Linked DNA regions of Oryctolagus cuniculus. The protein of the gene in region 6 purifies or fractionates together with the protein of the main gene of each other region. This does not show direct contact. Links are inferred from orthologs where the notes say so. Each region holds a gene or a part of one and is shown on either strand. Other genes may lie near its edges.

The links.
Region 1: the proteins of BACH1 (region 6) and HMMR purify together in Homo sapiens (affinity purification with mass spectrometry; 6 studies listed by BioGRID and IntAct, counting the BioPlex papers as one, with this or other methods). This does not show direct contact. The link is inferred for Oryctolagus cuniculus from reciprocal best matches to the Homo sapiens genes BACH1 and HMMR.
Region 2: the proteins of BACH1 (region 6) and FAM83D purify together in Homo sapiens (co-immunoprecipitation; 3 studies listed by BioGRID and IntAct, counting the BioPlex papers as one, with this or other methods). This does not show direct contact. The link is inferred for Oryctolagus cuniculus from reciprocal best matches to the Homo sapiens genes BACH1 and FAM83D.
Region 3: the proteins of BACH1 (region 6) and MAFG purify together in Homo sapiens (affinity purification with mass spectrometry; 5 studies listed by BioGRID and IntAct, counting the BioPlex papers as one, with this or other methods). This does not show direct contact. The link is inferred for Oryctolagus cuniculus from reciprocal best matches to the Homo sapiens genes BACH1 and MAFG.
Region 4: the proteins of BACH1 (region 6) and MAFK purify together in Homo sapiens (affinity purification with mass spectrometry; 6 studies listed by BioGRID and IntAct, counting the BioPlex papers as one, with this or other methods). This does not show direct contact. The link is inferred for Oryctolagus cuniculus from reciprocal best matches to the Homo sapiens genes BACH1 and MAFK.
Region 5: the proteins of BACH1 (region 6) and MAFF purify together in Homo sapiens (affinity purification with mass spectrometry; 3 studies listed by BioGRID and IntAct, counting the BioPlex papers as one, with this or other methods). This does not show direct contact. The link is inferred for Oryctolagus cuniculus from reciprocal best matches to the Homo sapiens genes BACH1 and MAFF.

What each region holds. Positions count from the first base shown.
Region 1 is NC_091437.1:50,243,252-50,247,949, reverse strand, and holds the end of HMMR (hyaluronan mediated motility receptor), read right to left. Parts: intron 4,631-4,698; coding exon 4,478-4,630; intron 4,375-4,477; coding exon 4,275-4,374; intron 3,296-4,274; coding exon 3,119-3,295; intron 1,528-3,118; coding exon 1,365-1,527; intron 803-1,364; coding exon 783-802; 3' UTR 667-782; downstream 1-666. UniProt on the Homo sapiens protein: Receptor for hyaluronic acid (HA). Involved in cell motility. When hyaluronan binds to HMMR, the phosphorylation of a number of proteins, including PTK2/FAK1 occurs.
Region 2 is NC_091442.1:19,931,229-19,935,967, reverse strand, and holds the start of FAM83D (protein FAM83D), read left to right. Parts: upstream 1-1,654; 5' UTR 1,655-1,693; coding exon 1,694-2,164; intron 2,165-4,739.
Region 3 is NC_091448.1:998,200-1,003,135, forward strand, and holds the start of MAFG (transcription factor MafG), read left to right. Parts: upstream 1-1,677; 5' UTR 1,678-1,875; intron 1,876-1,952; exon of another isoform or gene 1,953-2,197; intron 2,198-2,327; exon of another isoform or gene 2,328-2,792; intron 2,793-4,716; exon of another isoform or gene 4,717-4,783; intron 4,784-4,920; 5' UTR 4,921-4,936. UniProt on the Homo sapiens protein: Since they lack a putative transactivation domain, the small Mafs behave as transcriptional repressors when they dimerize among themselves.
Region 4 is NC_091450.1:36,677,492-36,682,318, reverse strand, and holds the start of MAFK (transcription factor MafK), read right to left. Parts: upstream 3,110-4,827; 5' UTR 2,914-3,109; intron 2,730-2,913; exon of another isoform or gene 2,392-2,729; intron 1-2,391. UniProt on the Homo sapiens protein: Since they lack a putative transactivation domain, the small Mafs behave as transcriptional repressors when they dimerize among themselves.
Region 5 is NC_091442.1:114,968,731-114,973,679, forward strand, and holds the start of MAFF (transcription factor MafF), read left to right. Parts: upstream 1-1,518; 5' UTR 1,519-1,685; coding exon 1,686-1,771; intron 1,772-4,705; coding exon 4,706-4,772; intron 4,773-4,949. UniProt on the Homo sapiens protein: Since they lack a putative transactivation domain, the small Mafs behave as transcriptional repressors when they dimerize among themselves.
Region 6 is NC_091435.1:16,285,768-16,290,825, forward strand, and holds the start of BACH1 (transcription regulator protein BACH1), read right to left. Parts: upstream 3,141-5,058; 5' UTR 2,929-3,140; intron 2,852-2,928; exon of another isoform or gene 2,294-2,851; intron 2,209-2,293; 5' UTR 2,124-2,208; intron 1-2,123. UniProt on the Homo sapiens protein: Transcriptional regulator that acts as a repressor or activator, depending on the context. Binds to NF-E2 DNA binding sites. Plays important roles in coordinating transcription activation and repression by MAFK.

The DNA.
Region 1 (4,698 bases), on a different chromosome or scaffold from region 6:
CCTTTCAAATAAATAAATCAATTTAAAAAAAAAAAAGACTTCCAGAATCAAGCTAAAAAAATGTGAGATGGAATCATAATCTTGAAACTAAGGCTACTGTCAAGGGGAATAATGAAGATGATTTTCAAAGGAATACTGATTTTGTGGGAAGTAATGTAAGCTAGAAAGTCAGATATACGGCTACAATAAGATGATAAAGATTAGCATTAAGAGGGCAGTATTTATAATAGGAAAAATATAGAAGACATATTGGTTAAAAAATTGAATTTTTTTCACATACTAAGGATAGGCAATTAAAAATTTTTTTAAAAGACTGATTTATTTATTTAAAAGGAAGAGTTACATAGAGGCAGACTCAGAGAGAGATATATCCCATCTGCTGGTTCACTCCCCAAATGGCCACAATGGCCAGAGCTGCATCGATCCGAAGCCAGGAGCCAGGAGCTTCCTCTAGGTCTCTTACGTGGTTGCAGCGTCCCAAGGACTTGGGCCTTCTTCCACTGCTTTCCAAGGCCATAGCAGAGTTGGAACGGTAGTGGAGCAGCCGGGACTGGCATCCATATGGGAACTGACACCCATACGGGATGCCGGCACTGCAGGTGTTGGCTTTACTCACTACACCACAGTGCCGGCCCTGGCAATTAAATGAAATACAAATAAAGCATTTTAAAAAACCCATTAAAATATAATAGTAACAACAATATCATCATCAACAATCAAAATAAAGTAATCTTCAACAGGTTTTTCAGATGTTGCATGATTTCTTGATTCTCCATAGGAGCTCAGCAGCAGTTTGTATTGCCTGGAAGGATATTAGAAAAAATTATCAGTATTTTAAATGAAAACTAACTCCTCAATCATTATAAACTAAGAACAGGCCTCCTGTCTTCTCTAAGGCAGATGAAGCAAGGCTTACATTCTGCAGCATTACTTGTGAATATATTCCTTTATCACTATTTCAACCAGTTTTTATTTGTTGTGAAATAAACAAAGATCCAACATGAGGAAAGAGTAAATCTACTTTTCCAAAAACACAAATTTTAGAAAATGAAGGATGTAGCAGATATACAATAAATAATTAGTTATTACAGAGAGAATAATTTGAGGGAATGTGGGTAGCAAAAAAGTCCTGCAAGCCTTTAAAGAAGATGTAATTTGGGCCTGAAGGACAGGTAGCATTTAGATACAGAGAAAAATAATACAGAGGAGAAAAAAGTTATTGTACAAAACAATTTCAGTAAGAATTTCTTTTATATCAAAAGCTGTCAACAAATTTTCAAAGTTAATAAATGAAGAAGCTGCTAAATGCCATGAAAGGAAATCTAAAGGAAGATGAGACTTTTATGCATTTATTCATTTCTTACCTTCTTTTAATGGAGTTTTCATGGCAAAATTTTCTTTACTTTCATGATGAAAAGCCTTTGAAGGATCAAAGTGTCTGATACCCAGAACTTTATTCAATTCCTCCTGAAGTTTTCTCTCATTTTGTTTTCTTTTAGCAAGCTGAGAGCGCAGTTTTGTTACCTCCTATAAGAGAAATTAAACAAAGAATATTAAAGTTGGTGAACTGTGTTATCATTATTGCAAGGTAAACTCCAAAGTTGTTTATGTATCACACCTAATGGCAAAAATGACTATAACACATAAGCTTTAAGATCTTAAATCTTTTTGTATCTCTGTAAGTACAAAGCTACTTTCTCAAAATGGATCAATAACCTAAATGTAAGATCTAAAACTACAGGCTATTAAACAAATTATGAGTAAGTGTTCATGATCTTTGATTTGGCAAAGGATTTTTAGATACCAAAGTAGCAAAAGAAAAACAAAGATACATTGGAATTCAACAAAATGTTGTGCTTCAAAGGATAACATTAATAAAGTAAAAAGACAGTGCACAGAATGGCAGAAAATATTTGCACATAAGACATGTATATCCAGAATGTATAAAAAACTCTCGCAATTCAACAGTGAAAAGATCAAAGAATACAATTTTTCAAAATGGGCAAAGAATCTGAATAGGCATTCCTCCCAGGAAAATACACAAATGGCTAATAATCAACATCATTTCCATCAGGGAAATTCAAGTGAAAAACTACAATGAAATAGAGCTTTATATCCAGAAGGACAGCTGGAATAAAAAGGTCAAGTAATATCAAATGTTAGTGAGTACATGGAAAACTGGAAACCTTATACCCAGTTTGACAGTTTTCGAATTGATTAAAACTAGTTACCATATGACCTTGCAATTTCAGGCCCAGTTATATACCCCACAGAAATAAAAAAATATGCCCATACAAAAACTTGCACATGAATGTTTATAGTAGCATTATTCAGGACAAAACATGAACACAATTTGAATGTCCAACAATTGACAGATAAATAAAATGCTAAATATTTACACAATGAATTATTGTTTGGCCATAAAAAGGAATGAAGCATGGATACACGCAACAACATGGATGAGCTCTGAAACATCATATTAACTGAACCAAAGCAATCACAAAAGACTATTATTTGAGTCCATGAATATAAAAATGTCTACAATAGGAAATTTGATAAAGATAACTGGCTGCCTAGGGCTGAAGGGTTGGGTAGAATGAGGAGTTAGGAGAATAAAAGGTAAAAGGTACAGAATTTCATTTTAAGGTGATAAAAATACTCTAAATTGACTATGATGATTATTTCACTTATATGACTATAATAAAAACCATAGAATTATATATTTTAAAGGAGTAAATTGTATAGGATGTGAATTAATCTCACAAATTTGTCAGAAAATTTAAATACCTAAGTATTTTTTAATACCGGTTGTCTTAATTGTGATTACATCAAGAAGCTTGCTATTTTGCTAACAGAAATGGATATATAAAGCTTTATGAATTCTTCCCATTACTTTTGTAATTTCAACATACTAAAGAGGTAGTTAAAAAGCTGAGAACACTGAATACTAGTCTGATTGATGCTCTAAAATAAAACCATTAACTCTAGGATCAACTTTCCTCCATAAACTACTTTTTTCTGATATAAAAGATGTTCATTTTAATAAGTTTTATAAATAGTTAAATTAATAAAATCCCCATCCCAGTATCTTTCAAAAAATAAATACTACTTTACAAACCGATTTTAGTTGGCTATTTTCATCTTTCAGTTTCACAACATGCTTGATTTTTTGCTTCAGATTCTGATGACCCAATAATGTAGCGTATGAATCTCTTAATTTATTTAGCTGTTCCTGAGCTGCACCATGTTCACTCAACAATGCCTGTTTCTCTGCTTCAAATGCATCCAGCTGTAGCTAGAAGAGATTATAAAGTTAAGACCAGAACTGTTAAACAAAAATCCTAAACTGTTAAATCTTATTAGTTTCATATAATCCATAAAAAATCTAAAGAGAATTTTAAAAACCTAAAATGGAAGATACATACATTTTCTCAGGGCTCTCTACAGCTTCTCTAAGAAAATCTTAAATATACTATTTTTCATTTTACAGCTCCCTACTAATGCACCTGGGGAAGCAGCAGATGATAGCCCAAGTCCTTGGGTCCCTGCACCCACGTGGGAGACTTGGAAGAAGCTCCTTACTCCTAGTTTCAGATTGGCTCAGTTCCAGCATTGCAGCCATTTGGGGACGGAACCAGCAGAAAGATGACTTCTCTCTCTCATCTCTACCTCTCTATAACTGTCTTTTAAATCATTTATTAATCTTTTTTTTTTTTTGACAGGCAGAGTGGACAGTGAGAGAGAGAGAAAGAGAGAAAGGTCTTCCTTTGCCGTTGGTTCACCCTCCAATGGCCGCCGTGGCCGGCGCACCGCACTGATCCGATGGCAGGAGCCAGGTGCTTCTCCTGGTCTCCCATGGGGTTCAGGGCTCAAGCACTTGGGCCATCCTCCACTGCACTCCCTGGCCACAGCAGAGAGCTGGCCTGGAAGAGGGGCAACCGGGACAGAATCCGGTGCCCCGACCAGGACTAGAACCCGGTGTGCCAGTGCCGTAAGGCGGAGGATTAGCCTAGTGAGCCGCGGCGCCGGCTTAAATCATTTATTAAAAAAAGAAATTTATGTCCATTAAACTTACCAATTATAGTTCAATGAAGGTGGAGAAAATTTATGTATAATCTAATAAAAATCATAAAACCTTAATTGAAAGTTAAATGTGCACTGAAAATACAGAACAAAATGTTATTGCAGGAAAGCAAGTCACTGTCATGACTATAAGGGAGAACAAAGTAAACTCCTAAAATAAGCAGAAGTGGGTTTAATCTTAAATGACAAACCTGAAAAGGTTTTGTTTTCTTGTACAATTCTTCATAAAGGAGACGCCACTTATTAACTTCCTCAGTTAATTCTTCCATTATATTTTCTTTTTCAGCTTTCCTATATAACAAAGTTATATTTTAAAAATTAGAGAATTACTATATTTTCTGATTAGGAAAAAAAAGTGAATTACATGGCACTCAGGTTCCAAATATAAGATTACTTTGATTCTTCCTCTTCCAGTTGTTTCTTAAAGTCTTCATTTTGTTGCTTGAGTTGATTCTGCAATTCAGTTATTTTTTTATCAGAAGAAACTGCAATTTCTTTAATTTCTGCGTCCTTAAGTTCTGACTTGGTCTGCAGATCTAGAAGCATCCTTGGGTTTGAGAAAGAAGAGTCCAATAAACATTTTATAGCTATTTTAATTACTTTATCTTTTTTTTT
Region 2 (4,739 bases), on a different chromosome or scaffold from region 6:
GGAGCTTATGGTGGTCAACATGCCATCATCTGTCCACCTTCTCACAGCGACACGGCAGGTGAGGCCCTGCTCATTCGGACAGTGGAGCACAGACAGGCCATGTGTGGCCCAGCCCCACACCACTGCTCTCGTCCCTGTCACACCCTGGTGTTGGTGTCTGCAAAGGTGTTGCAAAGGACGCCCTGTTGTAGCCTTCTGGACACAGGGTGCCAGGGCAGGGACACATGGAAGGCCCTACACTTAGGCTTGCAGGGTCTCCCAGGCAGGAATGGGCAGAGAGAGCTGTCACAGCAGGGGCAGGCTGGCATGGTTTCAGAAGTGTACCGGCTGCTACGTGATCATGGAAGCCCCTCGGATTTAGGAAGCGCTTACAGCCCTGTGTGCACGAGCTCACTGACACACAGACCAGGCCCGCAAGCTGCTGGGTTTGGCACTTGGAGCTCCTGGTGACCCTGGCAGATGTTTTGGTGGGACAGGGGGTGTTCGCCTCAGTGGAGGGGTTCATGAAAGGCCCGGGGCAAACCTGGAGACCGGCAAGTGTGCACACCCGGCTGAGGTTTTATGCCAAAGTGGCAGAGAAGTGGGGAGGTAGCTCTCAAGGCAGGTCTCAAGAGGAGTGTTGTAAGGTGAAACTGCTGCAGCCTGCTTGCGCGCTGATAGGAAGGAGTGAGGAGATAGACGATTGATTGATTGATTGATTGGACCACATTTAGCCGTGGAGGGGCTGGAAGCTCCCGCTGGGGTGGAGGGGGTGGAGCTTGGAAGGCTCAGGCACAGTCCACCCATGGAGACCCGAGGCGGTCAGACTGTGGGCAGGGAAGAGACAGGGAGACCTTGGATGTGGCCTTCTGACTGCGGCTGCTTCCTCAGTGTTAGGAAAAGCAAGGCTCCGAGAGCAAGGCGAGAAGACAGCCGGAGAGGGAAAGATGGGCGGCCGGGCAACCTTGGGGCTACTGGAAATCGTGACTCGGATGCACTGTGGTTCTGGAGCCTGGAATGGCTGCTTTGGGGCAGGTGGAAAGCACGCGGAAATTAGTTAACAGGCAAAGAACATTGGCGTTAGCCGCCAGAGGGTGTCGTCGAGGAAGTAATGACCACGACGGACCGGTATTAAAAAAAAAAAAAATAGGTGAACACTTAAACGCAAGGGATACAGTCGTTTGGCCACACTCGGCTCAGTGTCCGGGGAGCAGGCTCCGGGCCTCTCCTCCCCACCCGGGGCTTGCGGGGCCGCGCGGAAGGGCGGCCGCCAGGAGGCGCGCTGGGATGGCCGAGGACCCAGCTCCCGGGCCTCACTGCCCGCGCCGCCACCCGAGGTTGTAAGGCTGCTCAAGGCCGGCCGCTGTCCCCGCCTAACCGCAGAGCTTGGAGTCCCAGCAGGCCCGGCTATGTCCAGCCAGCGCCGCGGAGCCCGGTTTAAAAACCACTCAGCAGTCCTCGCAGCGACTCCAAGGGGCTGGCGAAACCCACAGCCAATCCGGTGCTGAAGCCCTGGGGCAGCCAATGGCACGCCGCGGGGCGGGACCGTGACGGCGAGCGCCCCGCCCCGCCCCACCATTGGAGTAATTCAGCCAATGAGAGAGCCGGGGCGGGGCACCGCGGCCAATGGCGCGGGCCGGTTTGATTCAAAGGTGCTTATAAAGCGAGCCCATAGCCAGGCTCTAGTCCGAGCGTGGTCCGTGGGAACGGTGCGATGGCTCTGCGGTGCGAGGTCCTGGACGAGCTGCCCGCGGCCTGCCTGTCGCCGTGCGGGCCGCCCAACCCCGCCGAGCTGTTCAGTGAGGCGCGGCGCCTGGCGCTCGAGGAACTGGTGGCGGGCGGCCCCGACGCCTTCTCGGCCTTCCTGCGACGCGAGCGCCTGGGCCGCTTCCTGAACGCCGACGAGGTGCGCGACATCCTGGGCGCCGCCGAGCGGCCCGGCGAGGAGGCCGCGGCGGCCGAGGACTCGTTCGGCTCGTCGCACGACTGCTCGTCGGGCACCTACTTCCCCGAGCAGTCGGACCTGGAGCCGCCGCTGCTGGAGCTCGGCTGGCCCGCCTTCTACCAGGGCGCCTACCGCGGCGCCACGCGCGTCGAGGCGCACTTCCAGCCCCGCGGCGCGGGCGACCGCGGCCCCTACGGCTGCAAGGACGCGCTGCGCCAGCAGCTCCGGTCGGCGCGAGAGGTGAGCGGCCCCGTCCGGGTCGGACGGGAGACCCTCGTCGAGGCCTGCCGGGAGCGCGGGCGGAGCCCTCTGACCCCTGGTGCTTCCCGGGTCCTCTGCTCTCCGCACGCTGCGTGTCTCCCCTCGGGTCTGGGATCCCCCCTCTGTCACTCCCTGTGACTTGTGCCGGGGTTCCAACTCCCAATACTCAGTGTCCCCTGGGAGCGGGACCAGAAATCATCTCAATTCCAGGCGTCAGTTAAAAGCGAAACATTATCAGCGTTCCCAGCGGTCAGCCGACACTAGGTCCCATCCCCGTGACCGAAGACGGTCCATCCCTAGGGGAAAGTTCCTGAGAGGTGGCCGCCAGAGGCAACTTATGTTGTGGGAAGCAGACGATGCGAAAGTGGCACAGAGAGGAGAGGGGGAGGTTGCCCCTTCTGGATGAGTGGGGAACGGGTTGCTTTTCCGTGGGCTGGAGCGGTTCCCGTTAGCATGACCCCCGATGGGCCCGTCTGAGCGCGGTGGGTTTTGGCCCTGCTGCCTGACACTGGCAGGGTAGCCAGGTGCTGCGGCAGATCTCGGCGGCCTGCAGGCCAGGATGATGCCCCCGCCGGGCGCTGGGGGTCAGGGAGGGAAAATGCAGTGAGCAAGTGGGTGTGGCAGTGGACGCCTCGGTCCAGAGCCCCTCAGTTTGCTTGCTGGCCCGCAGATGCCCAGCTACTGGCTGAGCTGGAGGCCTGGTGGGTAAAGCTGTAGGCCATGATAAGGCCTGGTACCAGGGTGTGTCTGTGGGTGAAGAGATCAGCATCAAGTCAGGTGGAGGTAGCCACGGCCCAGAACAAGCCCCGATTCTCACCAGTGTTCCTGGTGGTGGCTGACCCGCGGGGTTGGCCATAGTGACCTGGTGTCTTACTTGGAGGGGAGTGGGTGGGGGCTGCAGCGAGGCTGGGGTCGGCTCTTTGACACTGTGGGTGGCCTGAGGGTCCTTTGCTTTGGATGCTGCAGACGTTTTCATTGTGGGTTCAGTAAAAAGGTGTTTTTTTGTTTTGTTTTGTTTTGGTTTGGTTTTTTTTTTAAAGACAGGATTCTGGGGCAGGTGTGCAATCCCGAAGCTCACCTCCAGGAGGAGGCCTTGAGCACTTGGAAGTTGAGACTAGTTACCAATGGACGTCCTTATGAATAGATTGCTTGCCTTTTGCCTTTTGCCCAGCCCCAGATTTTAGTTGTAGTGAAGGGGCAGTGGAGCCAGAGGGAACCAGTGTCTTAAACTCACATGCTGGCCTCCGGAGGGGCTGGAGCCCGGACCTCCGCTTCCTGTGTCCATCTGTGGTGCTTTCCTCTGTTCTGTGCCCACCCCAGCTGCCTACCCTGCTCTCTCTCCAGCATGCTGCCCGTGGATGCTGCGTGTTGCCCCAGGGAGAAGTGGCTCATTCTTTACTTTCAGTGCACTGTGTGTGTGTGTGTGTGTGTGTGTGTTGGTGTTTGCCCTGTGCCAAAGTACTTGGCTTTTCAGTGCCTGCTGTGTGTCGGACGCCGCTGGGGCATGGGCCACAGCGGGAGGCATCAGCCCGCGTGCGCTAGGGAGTGGACAGTGTGCAGGTGGGCAGCAGGGAGGAGGTGGCTCCAGGCAGCGGGGGAGGGCCTGAAAGGTCTCAGGAGTGGAAACCCTGGAGCTGGGTGCAGGAGGAGGGGTGGGAGCAGAGGACCTGGTGCCTGTGGGAGCGGTGGGATTCCCAGGCATGGAGCGGAGAGTGGGTGAGGGCAGGGTTAGTGGGGGGGGGGCTGGAGCTAGACTGTGGAGGGTGAGGGGTGTGTGTAGGAGGGTGGATTGGATGGGGGTGAGGCTGCTGTCCAGGACAGCTGGAGGCAACCGCGGGAGTCCTGCATGAGAGGAGGGGCTGCACTGAGGCCTTGTGGGCAGGCAGAGTTTTGGGTGGAATTGGCCGGACTTGGCTGTGAAAGAGTGGGAGCGGGCCGGAGAGCAGGCAGGGCTGGGAGAGGAAGGCCCAGGAAGGGTAGAGGAGGACTGGGGTGGTTCCCACTGGTATGTGGAAGGAGAGCGACCCAGGGGAGTGACGCTGAGAAGATGAGCTGGATGGGGAGGGGGACATCTTGTTTGTTAAAATAAGTGACAACACGGGCCGGCGCCGCGGCTCACTAGGCTAATCCTCCGCCTTGCGGCGCCGGCACACCGGGTTCTAGTCCCGGTTGGGGTGCCGGATTCTGTCCCGGTTGCCCCTCTTCCAGGCCAGCTCTCTGCTGTGGCCAGGGAGTGCAGCGGAGGATGGCCCAGGTGCTTGGGCCCTGCACCCCATGGGAGACCAGGAAAAGCACCTGGCTCCTGGCTCCTGCCATCGGATCAGCGCGGTGCGCCGGCCGCAGCGCGCCGGCCGCGGCGGCCATTGGAAGGTGAACCAACGGCAAAGGAAGACCTTTCTCTCTGTCTCTCTCTCTCACTGTCCACTCTGCCTGTCAAAAAAAAAAAAAAAAAAAGTGACAACTGCTTTCTGTCTGCCACACGCCGTGCTAAGTCACCGAGACAGGCGCAATGAATCTGCATCTTACAGACGATGGCACCAAGGCTTAGAGAAGT
Region 3 (4,936 bases), on a different chromosome or scaffold from region 6:
GGTGCTGCTTCTGATCCAGCTCCCACCTAATGCACCTGGGAAAGCAGCGAGTAATGGCCAAGTGCCCCTGCCGCCACGTGGGAGACCCAGACGAAGTCCCGGGATCCTGGCTTCGGCCTGGCCCAGCGCTGGCCGTGTGGCTGTCTGGGGAGTGAACCAGCAGATGGAAGACCTCTCTCCCTCTCTGCCTGTCAGACAGCTTTCAACAACAGCAATTCAGCCTCATCTGCCGTGGCCCAAACGCTGCTGCCCCCGTATTTCAGGGACAAGTGTCCAGGACCCTGTGTGGGGAGTCTGCCAGGGGGTTCTGGGACAGATGAGAGGACGTGCGTGGCTGGGCCCCCTGGGCCCTGGAGCTGCACCGGAGTCAGGTCCCGGCTGCCTGGGCCATTCCAGTGACAGGACACGAGCCCCCCACCCAGCACCGCACAGGACAGCTGGACCCCTGCACCCGAAGAGCTGCCCCCTCACAGGACAGAGCGTGGGCACCTGCCCCTCTCTTGTCTGCTCTCAGAACTGACCCCAGGGCCCAGGGCTTCTCTCTCTATAGGAAGCAGTCCCAGTACCTACGGCCCCCACTGGCCTCGCCCGTGGCCCCGGGTGGCCACACCCATGCCTGCCTGTTGCGGCTGCTGAGTGGGGGTGGGTGTGTGGGGGTGGGGAGTGGACGGACGTCCATCAGCAAAACTGAGTGGGAGATGAGATGAGTTTCCCAGGCATCTCCCACGCACTGGACGGCGGCAGGGGAGGGCGAGCTGCCTGGGTGGTCAGCAGTGATGGCCCCCGGCCCCAGGACCAGGCGTCCTGGTCCAGCGTCTCCCAGCACAGAGGAGCGAGGGCACACCCGGCTCTCCGTCACGACTAGCCCCCTGCCCTCGACCTCGGGCCTCAGACCAGCGGCCACGGAGCTCCGATTCCCACCGCGAACCCGGCTCAGGGCTGCCCCGCCCCCCGGAGCCTGGACCCAGCGTCCAGGAGGGGTGAGGAGCAAGCTCTGAGACCAGGGACGCACTCGTGGGGTGAGTCGCTGCGTTTTCTACGGAAAAACCCGAGGCTTTACAAGTCGCGCCGTCCCGCGTGGACACCCCACCCCGCCAGGAACCCCGCGCAGCCCCGCACAGCAGCTCCAGGTCCTCCTGTGGGCCCCTCCGCGGCGCCCTCACCTCCTCACCTGCCTGGCTGTGCACCTGAGCAGGGAACAGGGCCGAGAGCGCGCCCCCACCCCGCCGCGCGGCGACTTCCTGGGGGAACGATCGGCGGCGGGGGCGGACGCGGACCCGGGGGCCGGCTTCAGACAGGTGCCGGCGGCCCGGGGGACGGCCCGCGCCGTCCACTCCTGGCGGGCGCACCGCGGGGCCGGGACCTGGGCCCTGCACCCCCGGGGTCGGTCTGCACCCGGACCTCGGACTAGGGCCTCCCGCGCGCTCGCACCGCGCCGCGGCGGGGGCGTGGTCCGGCCAGGGCGCGCGCCCGGACAGTCCCGCGAGCCCCCGACGCGGCCCGGGCGCGGCGCGCGTTGCCAGGGGCGACGGCGCCCGGGCTGCGCAGGCGCAGGGCGACGCGCCCCGCCGCCGCCGCCGCCGCCGCCGCGCCTTCCCCTTTAAGCTCCGGCCGGCCGCGTCGCCGCTTCATGAATGGAGCCCACGTGACCAAACATCATGTGACGTCTGTGGAGCGGCGGCGGCGGCGGCGGCGGCGGATCCCGAGCCTGGTCCGGCCCGGCCTTCGCAGAGCGCTCGGCCCGGCGCGCGAGGCGGCGAGACCCCCCCCGAGCCACGGGCCCGGACCCCCGGCGCCCGCCCCAGCTCCGCGCGGCCTCGGAGCGCGCGCGGCTCCGCCCCGGCCCCGGCCTCGGCCCGCCGGGCCCGCAGTGTGGTGAGTGTGGCGGGCCGGGCGGCGGGGGCGGCGGCGGGGCCCGCGCCGGGGCGGGGCCGTGGCCTGGGCGCGCCGCGCGCCCTCCGGCGGGCCGGGCCTCGCCTTCCCCTGCCGTCGGGAGCCGGGCTGCGGCCCCGGCCGCGGGTGCCCGGGCGCACCGCCGGCGGCGCGGCGGCGCGGCGGCGCGGGCGGGGCGTGCGCGGAGCCCGCTCGGCGGAGGCCGGGACGTCCCGGGGCGAGGCGCGGCGGCGGCCGGGGGGAGGGCGGGGCCGGGCGCGGCCGGGGGCGCGGGGGCGCGGGGGCGCGGCCGCCGGCTCCTCAGGTGTGTGGCGGCCGCTGGCGGCGCGCGGGGCCCCGGCGGCCGGGCGGGGGCGGCGGGAAGACCCTGCCCGCGGGCCCGGGCTCGGCTCGCGTGCCAGCGCCGCGACCTGCTGAGTCATCAGCATGAGGTCACTCGGAGCTGCTGCTGGCGCGGGGACTGGGCGCGGGGCCTCGGGACTGGAGGGGCCGGCCCGTGGCGGGGGAGGCACACGTGAGGATGAGCGCGAGGCCGGCGTGGCCAGGCGGAGGCCGAGGCCGCGTTGCGGGCTTCCTGCGGGGCAGAAGTCGAGCCCCTGGCGAGATCGGCCCTGGGCCCACGTTCGGGGCAGTCCCCCAAACTGATAAACAGCTGGGGGTGACGGGAGGGGAGGGGTCTGGTGGGCCGAGCTGGCGGCTGGAAGCCCCTGGATGGGCAGCCCCTGGCGTCAGAAGAAAGAGGAGTGAGCGTGGGGCCGCAGGGGCGGCGGCGGGCAGGGAGCAGGCAGCAGGACTTCGCAGGGCAGCCAGCGCGCTGTCGCGGCCGGGTCCGCTGGCCCTGGGCTGGGGCGAGGCTGCACGCGACAGGAGCTCAGGATGCGTCCTTTGGGGTGCAGCAGGTGGGTTAGTGTGGACGCACAGGCGGGAGAATCGGGTCCCAGACACCCAGGGGTTGTCCCCGGCGAGGAGGGGTCCCAGCATGGAGTGTGCTGAGCCAGTGTGGTGTCTCCGCTGTCTGGACCGGCGGCTAAGAGGCCAAAGGGTGGTGTGGCCGCGGTGGGGGCTGGGGGCCAGGGAGGTGGACAGAGCTCACCTTCCCACTGCTTCCCTTGCCCTGGGTTCGTGGCCGTCGCGTGGTCGCACCCAGACACCGCGCAGCTTCCTCGGGGCTTCTCCGGCACGGGTGCTCTGGCGTGAATGGAGCCGCAGGACTCGGGTCGGGGTCGCAGAGCGTCGGGCGGCCTGCCTGGGACTTGTGGCCGCTGGGGTGTGCCGGGCAAGGGTGCCCAGGGGAGCTGGTCCTGGAGGAAGGGCCGGAGCTGCCCTTTCCTCTCCTAGCTCTCAGCTGAGTGGGTGGCCCAGGGTCCCCCGTGGGTCAGGCAGCAGGGGACAGCGGCTCTAGCTCTGAGCAGCCCTCAGGACGGAGAGGATGGGCTGGGGGGGCTTCCACTCAGTGCAGCCTCCGGGACCCCCCCTCTGGCTGGGACAGGTGCCCCGAGCCAGCCTTCTCCGCCATCCCCAGGGGCCGCCTCTGCCCGGAAGGCTGGAAGCGCCGGCTTTGCCGAGGCCCTCCCCCACGGCGTGGGTGCCTGCACACGCACACGCACACGCACACGCACACGCGTGCACACCTTTGATCGGAAGGCGCCTGGCTGCACTGTGCTGAGCTCAGGCCTTCTGCAGAGGGCGGAATCTGTTGAGGAGGCACTTTTCCCAGCCCAGCGCCGCGCTCGGCACTTTTCTGTGTGGTCCCCTCAGGAAGCCACCGCTGTCATTGTGCGGTCGTGGGGGGAGGGACACCCCCGTGCCCAGGCAGCAGTGAGGGCCCGTCTCCTGGTGGGCCGGGGCCGGCTTGCGGGCCTCCTGACCTCCAGCTGTGGGCACCCCATCCCCATCCTTCTTGGGGTCCCGCCTCCTGGCTCGGCCCCACCCTGCCTCCTGGCTGCAGCCTGCCTCCTGGCCAGGCCTGGCTCCTGTGGGGTCTCCACCCTGGGAACATGGGCCGCCTGGCCAGCCACACTGTGGTTCCCCGGGTGGGTGAGCCGGCCAGGAGACTGTGGCCTTTCTCCCCGTCCACCTGTTTACCTGCCTGCATCTAACCTGCAGAGCAGTGGGAGGGGCGGGCTCCGGGAGGGGTTCCTGGGGTGGGAGCTTCAGGTTCCTGGCAGGGGTTCAGAGAGCGGACAGTGCAGGGTGGTGCTCGAGGGGCAGCTGGCGGGGGAGCGGTCTGGGCACTGGGCTGTGGGTGCAGGCCCAGGCAGGGGACCACAGAGCAGTCAGTGACTGCCACCTGCCTGTCAGTGAGCAGGCCCCGGGGCCCTTGTGAAACACCCTGGCCAGGGTGGGGCAGGGGCGCAGGAAGCTGCAACCCAAAGCCACACGGTGGTTACTCCACGGGCCGGGAGGCGGCCAGAGCGGGCTGGAGGGGCCCTCGGGCCAGGCTCTCAGTCGGGTTGCCTGCTGCTTCCAAGGTGTGGGGCTCCCCAGCTCTTCCCGCCATGGGAGCCGGGGCCAGCTAGATGACTCGCTCCCAGCTGGAGGGCCCCGGGAAACTGGGAGACCCCTCACCCTGCTGTCTGCCCCAGTTCCCGGTGGGGACAGCAGGGGCTTTGTCCCGGGCTGGCGCAGGGGAGGCCGCTGTGGGAGGTAGGACCTTAGGATGCACAGGCAGGCGCCCCCACCTGCTATGGCCCCCCAGCCCCCCTGGCCCCAGCAGCGGGGCTCCTGGGCGGCTGTTGGCTGGCGGCCTCGGGAGTGCCGGCGGCGAGGGCGGGCGGCCGCGATGTGCTGAGTCAGCGTGACTGGCCAGGAACAGCCGTGCTCCGGGGCAGCGCTGGGGTTATTTTTAAAGCTCCCGGCTTCCTCCTGGACTTGCCCCTCCTGCGTCTCGGTGCTCCTCAACTCCCTCTGCCCCTTTGTCTTGCCCCCTGGTTCCCTGGGAGCGGAGAGGCGGCCGGGAGTGGGCAGGGCCTGGGCCCCTGGGGAGCTGGGCGGAGCGGGTCCTGACCGCTGCCCCCTGCCTTGCAGAGTGCCTGCTCGCTGT
Region 4 (4,827 bases), on a different chromosome or scaffold from region 6:
CGGCCCAGGCAGCCAGCCAAGGCACCCCTCGGCAGCGCCACCCCCACCCCGGCACCCGAGCGCCTCAAAATCTCAGAAAAGCCACCGGGATGCCAGCACCAAGGCCAGGCCGGGTCCCACCCCAGCCGCCACGTGCGTGAGGACCTCGGGGATGGGCGACGCCCGCCAGGAGCCTGTCCGGCACCGGCACCGCAGACTCACAACACCTGTCGGGCGACTCCTGCGTGGGTTTTAAACCCACAGCCAGAAACTCTCGTGAGCCATCCAGCCCCAGCGCCGCGGGAAGAGTGGCTTCCTCTCAAAGGATGTGCCGGCGCCCGCCCGGGGCCGCGGCAGAGAGGCCGGGCAAGTGCAGGGACAGTGATGCGGCCGGGGGCTCCTGGGGGCAGGGACCCGCTCCGCAGAGGCCAGCACTCAGGCCCCCGGAGTCCCCGAGCCGCACAGGGCTCCAAGCCTCCCTCGTCAGTGACCGGCTACGCCCTCTCCTGCCTGCTGCCGAAGCTCTGGCTCTGGTCCGGGGCTGCGACCCACGCCCGGTCCCACCTGCCCCGTCCTGCCCGCGGGCGTCCAGTGGGGGGCGAGGAGGCGGGACCGGGAGCGGCAGTCAAGACCCAGGCAGCAACCGTGACAGATGCAAATCCACACACGGAGGATGTGGCCGCCCCGGCGCGGAAGCTGGGGCCACACACACTTGTCAAGTAAACACGTCAGCCAATCGCAGCCGCAGCTGGGGCCACAGACACGCTGACTCGCACCCCACTGAAGACGAGGCCCCACCGCAGAGACACCCGCTGCCCCTGCCCTGGACACGGCCCTCTGCGGGCGGGATGTGTCCACGGTGCCCCCCAGCATGGCCCTCTGCGGGTGGGATGTGTCCACGGTGCCCCCCAGCACCCAGCCTGGCCCTGGCCACGGCCCCTCTGTGGGCAGGTGGGATGTGTCCATGGTGTCTCCCAGCCTGGCCCTGGCCACGGCCCCTCTGTGGGCAGGTGGGATGTGTCCATGGTGCCCCCCAGCCTGGCCCTGGACATGGCCCCTCTGTGGGCAGGTGGGATGTGTCCATGGTGCCCCCCAGCCTGGCCCTGGCCACGGCCCCTCTATGAGCAGGTGGGATGTGTCCATGGTGCCCCCCAGCACGGCCCTGGACATGGCCCCTCTGTGGGTGGGTGGGAGGTGCCCACTGTACCCCCCCAGCACCCCAGCCTGGCCGGGACACGGCCCCTCTGTGGGCAGGTGGGAGGTGCCCACCGTACTCCCCCAGCACCCCAGCCTGGCCGGGACACGGCCCCTCTGTGGGCAGGTGGGAGGTGCCCACTGTACCCCCCCAGCACCCCAGCCTGGCCGGGACACGGCCCCTCGGCGGGCAGGTGCCCGCAGTGCCCCCAGCCGGCAGCCCCGGACCTGTAGGATGTCCAGTCGCCTTGATCTGGGCTGAGGAAGCTGCTACATGCAGAGGTGCGTGGGGATGAGGCTGACACAGCCCCGCTCACGGAGCCGGCCCTCTGCTGGCCACCCAGGCGCTTCAGCAAGGCCCCAAGCTCCGTGGTCAGCCGGGGACGCGCCCTGGGAAAGCACACACAGCCCCGGCCCGCCTCCCTCACCTGTGTGCAGCTCGCGTAAGGGCACCCCACCCCAGGGCACCCGCTGCACCGCACAGCCTCGCCCTCAGCCTGACCCCGGGCTCTCCCCTGTCTGTGTGCTGACCCAGACTCCGTGACCTCGCCCCCAAGGGGCAGCTGCCCCGCTCAGCCCCAGCCCTGAGCTGCACGTGGGTGGGTCCCTCCTGACAGCTCCCAGGTGCACCGGGCACCAGCCCTCCCCCAACGCTGCTTCTTCCAGAAGGTTCTCCCCACTACCTTCCTCGTGGGAGGCACCTGCTCTCCCCCAAGACCCCACGGAGCTGAGCCGGCGGCGAGAACAGGCGGGCGAGCCTGGCAGGGGGCGAGGGGACCCCGCGGCCCGGGGTGGCGCCCCACCCCCACCCCCACCCCCACCCCCACCCCCACCTGCCCTGCACTGTCAGATAACTTCCCGCTTCCTGCAGCTCAGAAAGAGGAAACGGAGGCCGGCTCGCAGCCCCCCGTGCGTGCGTGCGGGAGCGGCGCCTCCCATCCAGGCGGGCGGAGCGCGTGAGTCACTGTTTACTGCCCGGGAGAGCGCTCCCAGCTGGCCCGATCGCCACTTCCCGTGCGGACTGCACCCGGAACCCAGAAAGTCCACTCCAGGAACCTTTAGACCCGGAGCCGCCGGGCCGCCAACAGGCACGGCTTCTTCTGGGTCCGCGGCGACAGCTTCGCCCCAGGCTGTAAACCGACTCCCGCCGTCCCGGGCGCCCGCGGCCTCACCGGGGCCGCTCCCTGGGATCCTGGCCCCCGGGACTGCCTTACTGACCGTTCTACTGCGGGCCGGGTCCTCGGGGCAGGCCCCCTCGGGCATTCCCACCAGGAGGTCCTCCCCCGAGCCGTGCCCCGCAGGTGCGTCCCGCCCACCTGCGCGGCCCCCAGACCCCACCCACCGGCCGGGCCGACACCTATGTAAGAGCTCCCGGGCGCCGCCGCACCTGACCAGGACTTACCGTGTCCTGTCGGGGCCAGACACTTGCCGGAGCTCGGGTCCGAGTCTGCCGGGGCACGTGGCGAGGGCGAGGCGCGCCTGGCCCCGCTCCGCGACGGCAGACACCTGCCGCCCCCGGACCACGCGGTCGCGGCCCCGCACCCGCACGTGGCGGCCCCGCGCGCCGCCGTCCCGCCCCGCAGGTGCTAGGGCCCCGGCCGGGCCTGGGTCCGCGCCCCCGGCTCTCAGCGCCGGGCCCGGGCGGGCGCGCGGGCCCCGGCAGCCGTGACTCCGCGGCCGCGTGGCTCCGAGCGCCCCCCGCCCCCCACGGGCCCCGCGCCCCGCGCCCGCCGCGCTCACCTGGCTCGCGCGGGCGGGCGCGCGGCGGCTCCTCGCGGGCACGCGCTCTCTTCGCGCTCGCGCTCACTCCCGTGCTCCCCCTCGGCCGCCGCCGCCTCGCGCTCGGGCTCCGACTTCGCGAAGAACAACAAGTTCCCCCCCCGCGCCCGCCGCCCGCGCGCCGCCGGCTCCCAGCATCTGACACCGCTTCCGGGATCGCGTCGGCGCGCGTCACGCCGCGGCCCCGCCCCACCCGCAGGCCCCGCCCCCGGCCGGCCCCGCCCCCTCGCCGGCCCCGCCCCGTGGTGCGCGGACGACGAGTCCCATCACGGCCCCGCCCCCAGACCGCGACCCTTTCCTCCCACGCTCGCGTCTCCAGGCCCCGCCCTCGCCGGCCCCGCCCCGGCCCGCAGGCCCCGCCCCCGGACGGCCACACCCCCAGAAAGCGACCTTCCCTCCCGGCCCCGCCCCCTCCTCGGCCCCGCCCCCGGCTGCTCCTGTGGCGCGCACCTGAGCGGGGCACCTGCGCTCCTTCCTCTGCAGAGTCGGGGTGCGGGGGGAGACCCTGAACGACGATGGCGTCCCGCACCCCATATTCCGCATGCCCCGCGTGCGGTCTGTGCCTCAGGTCACACCTGCGGGGAGCCCCCGCCGCCCACCTGTTCGCTGCAGGGGGTCCCTGCTGGGTCCCAGGTGCGCTGGGGCGAGCGCAGGGTCACAGCTGCCACTCCACAGCACAGGTATAGAGGCCGGACGACCCCCCGCGGGCCGCAGCACAGGGTCGGGAGGACCAGCTTTCCTCCATGGACGCGGCCCTAGGCGGAGGGGGCAGCTGGGGGCACAGACCCCATGTAGGCCCTCGCGAGGTAGGCACCAGGTGAGGTCGGGGTGGCCCTGGTCCCCAGATCCCGTGAGTACAGCAATCCGCAGGTGGGGGTGGCCCTGGGCCGGGGGCTTCAGCAGCTGCCATGGCCAGGGGGCCTGCCCGCTCTGAGAACCAGCTCCCCCCGGTGAGGGGGGCCAGGGCTGGTGGAGAGGGGACCGAGTGGAACACCCCTGCGTGCCGGAGGTGACCAGGCCGCCATGCTTCCCATGGGCACACTGGTGCTTGAGTGCCCCGGGTCTGGCAGGCCGGTCTCTGCGGGCTGCACGGGCAGCTGGACGAGAGCAGGAGGGAGTGAGGCCTCCTGAGCCTGGGTGTGGGGTCGCCGGGTTCCGATACCGGCCCCCGCTCCGGTCAGCCCTGGCCGCTGCAGACATGGGGGAGCTGACCGGACGCCCTCACTGCCCCTGCGCCATTGCCTGCTCCCCAGGCCACGGCAGGTGCCTCCTCTCAGGCGGGCAGGTGTCCGGCCTGGCCTCGTGCCCTGCTCTCCGTTTGCCAGGAAGCAGCCGCAGCCCGGGGTCTTGCCGGGGTTTGGGAGGGGCCGGGGCCGCTCTGCCTGCTTTTGTCCCTCACCTGGAAGCCAGCGAGAGGCCCAGGTTTGCGCTTGGAGAGGGGTGGTCCTGAGACCCCTTGGCCCGGAGAGCCAGGGAGTGGATCCGGCTTCTGTGTGGCCTGGGGTGAGTCAGCCGCCACCTCTGAGCATCTCCCAGTCCCTAAGTGGGGGTCAGAGGGGGACGTTGGGGTGGGGGTTGTGGCGCTGCCACCTGGACCTCCTCAGGTTCCAGCCCAGGCCCGGAGGGAGCTCCCGGCTACTGCACCCAGCCCGGGAGGCGGCCGATGTCCCTGACATCCCAGTGGGAGCCCGGGGGCAGGGAACCAGCAGCTGAGAAATCTCTCTCTCTCTCTCCCAGGGGAGGCTCCCTGCACCGTTCCCCTGGCTGGTATTGGACCAGGCGTCTGAGCCCGCCCCCCAACCGCGCAGACACCGCGGGAAAGGGTGGGCCCTGCGCACGGGCGCTTGCAGCCTGCTTGGCGGTCATGGCTCAGGG
Region 5 (4,949 bases), on a different chromosome or scaffold from region 6:
GCAGCCGGGCAGCGGTGTGGGTCTGTGTCAGTCCTCCTGACAGCTCCCGAGGAGGACAGGGCGTGGAGGTGGAGGCGGCTGTGGTCCTGGGCCATCCGAAAGGAGAAGTGGTCTCTGGCTGTGCAAGCGCAGAAGGGGCTAGGAGTTTGTGTTGTCACGCCCCCGCCTCCAGGAATCCTGCACTGATTTCCTTACCCTCCTCCCAGGCCTTCCTCCGCTGGTGGTCTTGGTGCTCCGAGGATACCACTAGCTTGGAGGCCATTACTGTGGGAACGGGACCTCAGGCTGAGGGGCGGTCGGCATGCCGGGGAGGGGAGGCCGGGATGTGAGTGGGGGGCAGAGCCCGGGCTGGAGCCACCCGCCGTCACTTCCCTGCTGTGCTTGGTTCCCCCTGCCCTGCTCCCCTTCCAGCAGGGAGGAGTGCCCCCAGCGCCAGCTGCCAAGACCCAGGAAAACACATTTTTTCCCTGTGTCCTCACAGCGCGCAAGCGGAATGGCTCGGCAGCCAGGAGGAGCCGTGCCAGTGGGTGGGCCGTCTCCAGGCTGTCTCTGGGGTGGGCCTGGGGGCCGGGGACGGGGCTGCGCGCGAGAGCCGCTGGCTGCTGATTGGGCGAGGCCTCTGTCAGTCCCCAAGAGAAAGCTCACTCCCCAGGCCTCCAAAGAAGGTTAGGAACCTGCAGACCCTGGGAGGGGTTCTGCCGGCCTCCGAGGGAAGAGAAGAGGCCAGGAAGGGAGGCCCTGAGAGAGCGCTGGCCGGGGTGGGAGCAGGCCCCGGGGCGCCAGTCCCCCACTGCCACCCGCAGCCACCCGGCCGAGGCCGGCTCTGCTGCTGTGCAAGCCCCAGGCCGGCAGGGCCGGAAGCCCCAGGCTCCAGGGCTCCCAGCACAGCGCGGCAGCCTGTGGGACTTTCCCTCTGTGACTTTCCCTCCGTGACATCCCCTGGGCACGGGGGCCTGCGGGAGCCGACGGGCTGGAGGGGAGTGCGGAGGACTTCCTGGGGTCCGTGTCCCAGCCAGCCCCAGCAGCGAGAGGGGCAGGCAGGGCTGTGTTGAGAAGGACTCAGAGGCTCTGTGTCACTTCCTGGGAGTACGTGTGGGCTTGATGAGCCATGAGTGGGCAGGGGCGGGGGAGAGGGGTGTGGTGGGCGAGCCAGCCACTCGCGGCTCCTGAGCGTGTGGCCCCTGCCAGTGTCTCCGCGCTGTGCCTATCATCAGGGATCACCCCATCATCAGGGGTCCCCTCGCGGCCGGCCCCTCTGTGCAGCCGGATGCGGGTGTCCTGGCAGGCCCCGCCCAAAGCCTGGCCCCTCGAAGCCCGGCAGTGGGCACCAGGGTGGCCTCCGTCCTGAACCTCACATGAACCCCGTCCTGAACTCCACCCCGTGCTGGCTGTGTGGCCCAGGGGGCTGCCAGGCATCAAGTCACAGTCGTCAGAGGAGCCGGCACTCAGTCCAGGCCTCACAGGTGCCCACGGGACTTCAGGCAAGCGATGGCCTCTCTGGGTCTCCGCCGCCCCCTGGGGGAGTGAGGAGGTGGGGCCTAGGGCTGTAAGGGCCGTCCCTGGGCTGGCCCCGGGCAGCTGGGAGCTGCTGAGGCAGAGCGCTGCCAGGGCTGGCTGTGGCCCCGGCTCCGGCAGCTCGGATTCTCGCTTTCCTGCCCTCCCGGGCGCTGGCTGACCGCCACTGCATGCACCCCTCCGCTCCACCAGAACCTGCCAGGCAGGTACCGCGCAGAGGAGAGTGGACACCCGGAGAGGTGGAGTCTCGGCCAAGGTCAGGTGGCCTGGAGAAGACGGACAGGGCGTGCCCCCACTCAGTGCTCTTTCCGTCTCCCACTCCCCACCTTGCTCCCTTGCCGTGCCCCGCCCCCCGCCCCACCCGTGTGCCGTCTCTACCCCTCGGAAGGGACACAGATGGGAAGGAGGAGGAACTGGGGGCTGGCCTGAGGTTTTCTCGCAGACTGTGTCTGGCCAGGCCTGGACGCTGACCAGCTGGGTGACGGTGTCAGTGACTCCGCCCAGCCAGCCATCCTGGTTCAGCCCCTGGAGCTCCCTGCCTGGTGGAGAGACAAGGAAACAGCCCATGGCTGTGTGGTGGGGAGAGGGGGGTGGAGGTGGGGGGTGGTGCCTAACAAGGCCTAAAGGTCAGGGAGGGCTTCCTGGAGGAGGAGGAGGAGGAGGGCACAAGGATGAAGAGGAGCCTGCCCGACAGAGGAGGGGGGGGGGAGTGCCCGGGTGGGGTCAGAGGAAGACATCCACATGGCTGGGGTGCACAGTTGAGGCTGTGCACTAGCCTGGGGATGGGCCGGCCTCTGGCCTCAGGACAGTGGGAGCCACAGCAGGTTCTAGTCTGGTGGTGGCACAGGAGGGTTCACAGGGCAGGAAGCTCCCTGGGGCACTATGTGGCAGGGCCGTGTGTGGCTCTGACGGGCAGGGTGGCGGAGGGCGGGGTCTGGACATGTCAGTGACTGGTCAGGGCAGTGTGGGGTCCATATGATTGGGCCAGGCAGGAGGGATAGTGAGGGGGCAGGCATGGAGGCCTCCAGAGACAGCTTGCTGGGCAAGCCAGGCCCGAGCCCACAGGGACTGGAGGGGCTAGGCAGGGAAACTGAGGCCCGGGCCCAGGCGGAGCCCACTTGTTCAGCAGTGAGGGCTACAGCTCAGAGCTCCACCAGGAAGCAGGCCTTCCCCACCGGGGAGCCGCACAGGACACCACGGCTGCTGAGCGCTGGCCTGGGACCCTGGGCCTCGCCCCTCCTGGCCACCACACGGGAAGTCCCTAGAGCCCGCTGGCCTGAGATCCCTGTGGGTGCCAGCTTCCCGCCCCTGAACCGCTCCTCCTTTCCCTGGAGCTGCTGGACCCCCTGGCCGTGTGGGCGGGGAGGGGCTGGCAGGCCCCTGCCCCAAGCCCCGGGAGGCAGCTGTGGGCCACAGGACCTCCATTCCACAGACGCAACACGCAGGAGGATCGGTCATCAGCGACGCCCACGGTGCTCTAGAGAAACCCGAGGCTGGGGAGGGAGACAGGCTGTGTGTGTGCACGCGCCGTGGGCACCAGTGGCTGGGAACATGGGATCTGAAGCAAGCTCCGTGGCTGTCCCGGGAGCAGGCATGCCGGGCGGAGGGAGCTCCCTGGTCCCTTGGAGGAGCAGCCAGTGCTGGGGCGCACCGCTGCGGCCGTGGAGACCACTGGGATGGGCGCCGTGGAGGCTGCTGGGAGAGGACAGCTGCCCTGATGGACGTGCCGCCCTGGGTCACACGCGGGGCGGCACGTGGTGCAGAGAGCTCTGCGGGCCGCCCTCCACAAGCCCCGGCGTGTGCGGGCCAGGGCCTGTTGCTCTTGCATTCCTCCAGGGTCCCCAGCACACATGCGGGTCCTGCCGGCCGTGTCAGGGAGCCAGGGCCTGTCCCCGGCCCTTCACGCCCTGCCTCCAGCTCCTGGGGTCTTGTAATGACAGCGTCTAGGACGCCGGGCTTCCAGTCACCAGGCAGCTTCCTGGTGTTCTCCCACTCCTCACGGGGGTTGGCCCAGGAGCGCGCTCGGGTCACACCGCAGGAGGCCTGGTCACCAGGCAGGGACAGGGTAGCTGCTTTCAAGGGGCCTTGGGAGGCCTTGCCTGTCCCAGAGCAGTGACCGCTGACCCCGGCAGGTGCCGTCCTCGAGTGTTTATAAACCTCTGCGCCCCCAGTGCCAGGTGCACGCCTGGGCAAACAGCTGCTGCCACACCTGGGGCCCCGCTGCCTGGGGCCCTGCTGGGCCACGCCCCCTGTGCTTGGGGAGGGCTGGGGACTGGCCCCGCGCTGTGTCCATGGGGTGCTGGGGACATTGTGAAGTCCTTGGCTATACGTGTGTTATGTGTACTTCTCTGTATGTAGGTTATACTTGAAGGAAAACTTTTTTTTTTAATTTATTTATTTGAAAGAGTCACACAGAGAGCCAAGGAAAGGCAGAGAGGCAGAGAGGCAGAGAGGGAGAGAGGGAGAGAGGGAGAGAGGTCTTCCATCTGCTGGTTCACTCCCCAGTTGACTGCAACAGCGGAGCTGTGCCGATCTGAAGCCAGGAGCCAGGAGCTTCCTCCAGGTCTCCCACGCGGGTGCAGGGGCCCAAGGACTTGGGCCATCTTCCACTGCTTTCCCAGGCCATAGCAGAGAGCTGGATCGGAAGTGGAGCAGCCGGGACTTGAACCTGCGCCCATGTGGGATGCTGGCACTGCAGGTGACAGCTTTACCGGCTACGCCACAGCGCTGGCCCCGGAGAACTTGCAGAAATCAAGTCAGATCACAGCTGGGCCGGGGCAGGAGTGCCCACTTGTGAGCTGTGGGTTTGTGGGGCGCCTGCTCTGCACTGCCCCGGAGTCAGGCGTATCGACGTGTGGTGAGACAGGCAAAGCCTCTGCCCTCCTAGGAAAACGGATGGAGAGAGACGAACCACAAAACCACTCAGTGCACAGGTGCAGCGAGTGACACAGGGGCGCTTCAGCCCCGCGGCCAGGGAAGACCTCCCCGAGGAGGCGACCCTGGGCTCGGGCCTGAGTGGTAGAGGGTCCCTCTGAGGAGGCCGGGGGACAGCATGTGGCTGGGCCAGTGTGCAGAGGAAGGGGCTGGGCGTGCGCTCCAACACAGCAGGGGCTCCGAATGCTAAGGGAGGAGTTGGATTTTACTCTAAGTGGGGAGCAAAAAACAACTGGTGGCCTCCTTTCTCCCCTAGGTCTCCAGCCCCGAGGGCACCGGCTGCCAACATGTCTGTGGATCCCTTATCCAGCAAAGCCCTGAAGGTGAGGAGGTGGCCCGGCCGGGGCGCTCACTTCCCCTTCCCTTCCTGGAATCCTCCAGGGGGCTCCGCAGGCGTCAGGCACTCGTGACGTCATGGGAAGGGCCCCCGGGCTGCGGACCGGGAGGCCCGGGGCGCAGGGGGGCTGTGCGCCCCCAGGGCCGAGCACTTCCCCTTTCAA
Region 6 (5,058 bases):
CTCTTAAAAGATTTGTTCTATAAACACTGCACTCCAATGTATACATTATCAAGTGTTCTCATTAATCTTTTTACACATCACTACACTTCAGATCACATACACAGATCAAACAAATCATTAAGTTTGTCTCCAAATCGATAATTCCATTTACCAAATATAACTGTTTTTTTTTCTATTTCCATCACTAACTTCAAGAATGTAATAAATTCACACTCAAGAGGGAACTGTTTTTACAATTCTATCTACAAAGCACGCTGAATCTCTTAAAAACTAATTAAAAATTAAAAAAAAGAAAATGTAATTTGAAGGCAAATTAATAGCTACGCTGACTGCTAAATTAAAAAACCTTCATGTGTCAAAAAAAATTACACTCAAGCTTCTAATTTTAAAGCACAATATAAAAGTAACAGAATTACATTGATAAAAATTGCCCTTAAGAAGAAATCAGAAGTTTTTTAAAAAAGTACAGCTGTTAAAAAATGTTATTGGCAATGGATAACAAGTATGAGCAGAAAAGGGTAGAGGGGATGTACCTTCACTATGTAATACTCAAGTACTGTTAATCTGTATCTTTCATGTCTTCCTTATTTTATAGAAAAGTTTTAAAAAGCAAAGTTTTAATAGCTTCTTCTTAATTTTACCACCTTGCACTCTTCATTAGAGACCCTAAAAATTCATTTATAATCTTCTCTAGTCCCAAATTTAAACAAAATTAATTTTTTCTAATACAAAATGTTTTAAATGAAAACTACCTACTATAAGAACTCATCATTCTTTTGACATGAGGTTAAGAACCAAACCCTCACCTCCATATTTCCCATTCCTAAACTTTGTCCACACTGAGGAAAGTTATGCTTGGGTTATGTGGTTACTTTTAAGCAAGAAACAATGACACGCAATGTAAAGACACTAGTACTATCTTTCAAGAGAATGAGACACATAAGTATGATCTGACTTTCATTAGACAACTGTCTAGCCTTGACTGTACCAGACATGTTAAATCCACCCACATTCACATTACCCTCCTGATACCAAAAAACTACTCCTGTATTCATGAAAAGCCAAGAGTCATGAAAAACAAGAGGAAAACTCCCTTTTGTGTTAGCATAAAGAAACTTTCATGAAGAACCAATTAAGTTCATGTTTTGAAATGTTAAAGACCATACAACAAGAGGAAATAAAAAACTAAGTACAGTATTGTTTATTGTATCAAATATTTATTGCCTGCAAATATTTACTGCCTGCAAATTTCTGCCCCAGTTTTAGCTCTTTCTCCAGTACAAATTCATTCTCAGTCAGATCTCGCAGCTGTTCTTGGTCTAAACACCTCAGTGCTACCTGGCCACTTCCTAAGAGTGCTCCTGCACTTCCCCAGCTAATTACATGTATCAGAACAGACAACCACTGAGTCCCCTTCAGCCTTCTGAAGCAATCCCTCTCAGTGCTCCTTGGCCTTTTATAGTGGAGGCATGTGATGAGCCTATCTGCACCAGCTGTTCCTAATTACCTCTCTGGCTCGGGTGAATGACTCAGCAACACAACTTTTTTAAAGAGTCATCCTACCTCATTATCCAACCAACATACTGAACAAAGGTAAACCGCTTGACAGAACCTTATGTTAAACAACAACAAAACAAGATGCAGGCACTACCCCAAAGCCACCCTACTCCAAGATGACTCACAGCAGCCTTTTTTCCTAGGTTTCCTTAAGATGTCCAATGGCAGAAGTGACAAGTGCCTTCAAACCAAACCCAGCCCAGCCCAGCCCAGCCCAGCCCAGCCCAGCCCAGCCCTTGCACCACTACCCTGAGACCAGGAAGAAGCAAGCTGACAGCTCTTCCCATTTCTTTGCTCGGCCATGTGACACGTTCAAATGCTCTGCCTCCCTAGAATTTCCACCCTTGATCTTTCCAAACAGCCTCAAATGCAAACCCTGTGGAATGTAATAAGCGTCCACTAGACGAACAAAGACCTAGTAGTGGCATCCTCCATGGGTAACAGTTCCAACACAGATATAAATTCTCCAAACTATCAGCATCCTACAAAGTCTTTGTTCCTCCAAAGACGACATGGTAGCTTGATTTTCCCACACAGGCTCCTCCACAATTACTACTACACTTTACCTTGAATCCGCCCAAGTTGAACGCAGAAAGAGGGCTCATGGTACAAACGCATGCCGCACAATTCTATTCAATGACATGAGCCTGCCTGGAGAGAGAGAGAAAGCCACGGCGTTCGTGATGCATTACAGGAGCACAAAGCCGGTGTCTCTACAATCAACACCCACTCTCACCATGTTGTGAGAGTCCCCATTACGACGAGCGGGCAAAACGCCAACAATGGGAGCCCTGAGACCTCCAATCCCCAAAACCAATTTCCCCAGACGCAGGTTAGACCAGGTGATCTTCCCGCTCTGGCCACCGTTCGGCCTTTCCGACGCGATGACCCGCGCGACCCACACCCAGCTGGGAGGGCGAAACGCCGCCCGGCGCGGGGGACGCTGCGGAGGCGCTGGGAGTGGGCAGAGGGCAGGACGGGGCCCGGGCCGTGAGGGCGGTGCTGATGTGTCACAGCCAGGGCGGGCCGCGGGCTGGGGCGCCGGGTGGGCTCCGACCCGGGGACCGAGGGGCCGGGGAGGGGCGGCAGGCGCCCGGGACCCCGCGGCGCGCGCGAGCGCCCGCCCGGGGGTAAAGTGCAGCGCGCGCCGGTAAACAACAGCGCTGGCCGCCTCAAGAGCCACGGGCACCCACGGACGCCCCTTCCGGTGGACGCGGCCACTTCCAGGAACGGGGCCGCAGCCGCTCCCGGCCCCGCGACCCACCACCACCACCAGAAAACAGCCGCCGGAGGCCCCCTCGGCGCCTCCCCTCACAGGCCCAGGCCGCGACCCTCCCGGGGCAGGGCGAGCAGGCCGGCCAAGCCACTCACCAGAGCCGGAGCGCGGCGCGGCCCGTCTGACGGCAGCGAGCGAGGCAGGCGGGTGGCGCGGGCAGCGGTCAGGTGACTCACTCCCTCCGCGCGGCCGGTGGCCCCGTCTCCTCCCGTACCGTCCCCTCCCCTCTCCTCGGCTCGGAAGCCGCGGCTGCAGCCGTCCCGAGGCTCCCAGACCCCGCCCGCCTGGCCTCGCGAGGCCCCGCCCCGCCCCGCTGAAGCCCCGCCCCGCCCCTCCCGCCAGGCCTGGCGAGGCACGCCCTCCTCGTGAGGCCACGCCCTCCTCGTGAGGCCACTCCCACCGCGCCTAAGTCCCGCCCGCACTTGGAGCCCCGCCCTGCGGCTCCGGAGGCCTGGGCAGGGGACCCGGGGAACCGCGGATCAGGAAAGCCCGCTCTGGGAGCCCCAGGGAGGGCTGCGCCGGCCATCTGACGAGCGGATCCCGGCCGGCCTGGGAGCGGCAGCGGCTCGGGTCCCCCACCTTCGCGTGCCCAGCCCCCTACGAGGACCACTCCTTTCCTGAGGGCAGAGGGAAAGGGGGCGGCCCCCTCAGCCCGAGTGGTGTCCGGACGCCCGGAGGCCGTCACGGCGCCTGGAGCTCCGGGTTCCCGCGCCCTGCGGGAGTGAGAGCGGGCGCCCCTCCCCAGAGCCGCACAGGGGTCGTGGCTGAGGAAGCCCTCGGGGTGGCAGGCGCCCAGATTCGCCAGGTGTGGGATCCTGCCGATCGGGAAGAAGCAAGTACATCCGGGATATTGTAGAAGGCGTCTGGCAGCCCTGGCTTGAATGAGAACAAGGGCATCCGCTAACAGGTGTTCCCTTTTCACCACGACTGCCAGGAAACTTCCAGCCAGGTTCGGTGCCAGCGGTGTCAGCGGGCCCGGCTCGAGCTCTGGTTGCGCTTTCATCCCTTGATGCTTATTGTGGTGTGTATCCAATTGTCACCTTTAAAATTATGTTCCCAAGCCATTTAACACCTCTGGAGCTGAAAGCCTGGGCCCTGCAGAGCGCACATGGCAAAGCTTATCCATGTCGGAAGAGAGGGGATTGTGCCAGCCAACTCCATAATAGAGTTCCTGGAGAGATGGCACTCAACCGGAGGCCTGCAGCCCTCGAAGGATCTGTCTGAAAGGATTTTGTTGTTGGCTTTTCACTTCTAATGGAGAAGGAGAGATGGGAAAACTTGGTGGCTCAACTGGCAGCAGCTCCAGAAAGTGTGGACTTATTTCTTGAATTCAGTAAGACAGCCCTGGAGCAACATGGCAGAAAAAAAAAAAAAAAAAAAAACTTACCACAATAATGAATTCATGTATTATTATTAACAAAACTGCAGGGCTGTACCCACAGTCTGCAGGACTTAGGGACATTCGCATTATATTCGAAATACACGAGAAAATGACAGAAATTGAATGCGAGTACAAATGGTAAAATGATACACTATGGCTTGGATATCAGGGAGAGATTCCCAGAGGAGTAACATTTGTGTTGTGTCTTAATGGTCATGTGTGAGACCCAGCTGTCCAGGGAGGAGGCAGATGGCATTCCAGGCTACCTGAGTTCATGGTAGCTGTGCAGATATTTAACAAGAAATAAGGAAAGGACAGCTGGAAGTAGACCATGAAAGAAGGATTGGGGTTCTTATAAATCATGTGAGGGTTTTTGAGGCTTCACTTTTCTTCCACGTTGAGCCAGTGTAACTACATTCTGCCTCCCACACCTATGCAGTTTCTTCAACAAGGAACACACCCTCCTCTTTGGGAGGGCCTCTTATTTCCTTAGTGGACATACAAATGAATACCAAGTTTTGACACTATCAAGGCAACTAGGAGTGACTCTCAAACTGCTACATGCTTAAGAATAAAATATCTGGGTGCTCACTAAAATGCAGCTTCCTGGGCCCTGCCTCAAAGATCCTGCTATCATAGGTCTGGATGGTACCCAAGGCATCTTTCTAGAAATCATTTTTATTGTTTATTTGGAAGACAAGAGAGAAACAGATCTCCCATCTGCTGATTCACTTTCCAAATTGTCAGCCACAACTAGGCCTGTACCATGCTGAAGCCAGAAGCCTGGAACACTATCCAAGTCTGCCAAGTGAGCGTGAAAGGGACTCAACCACTTGAGCCATCA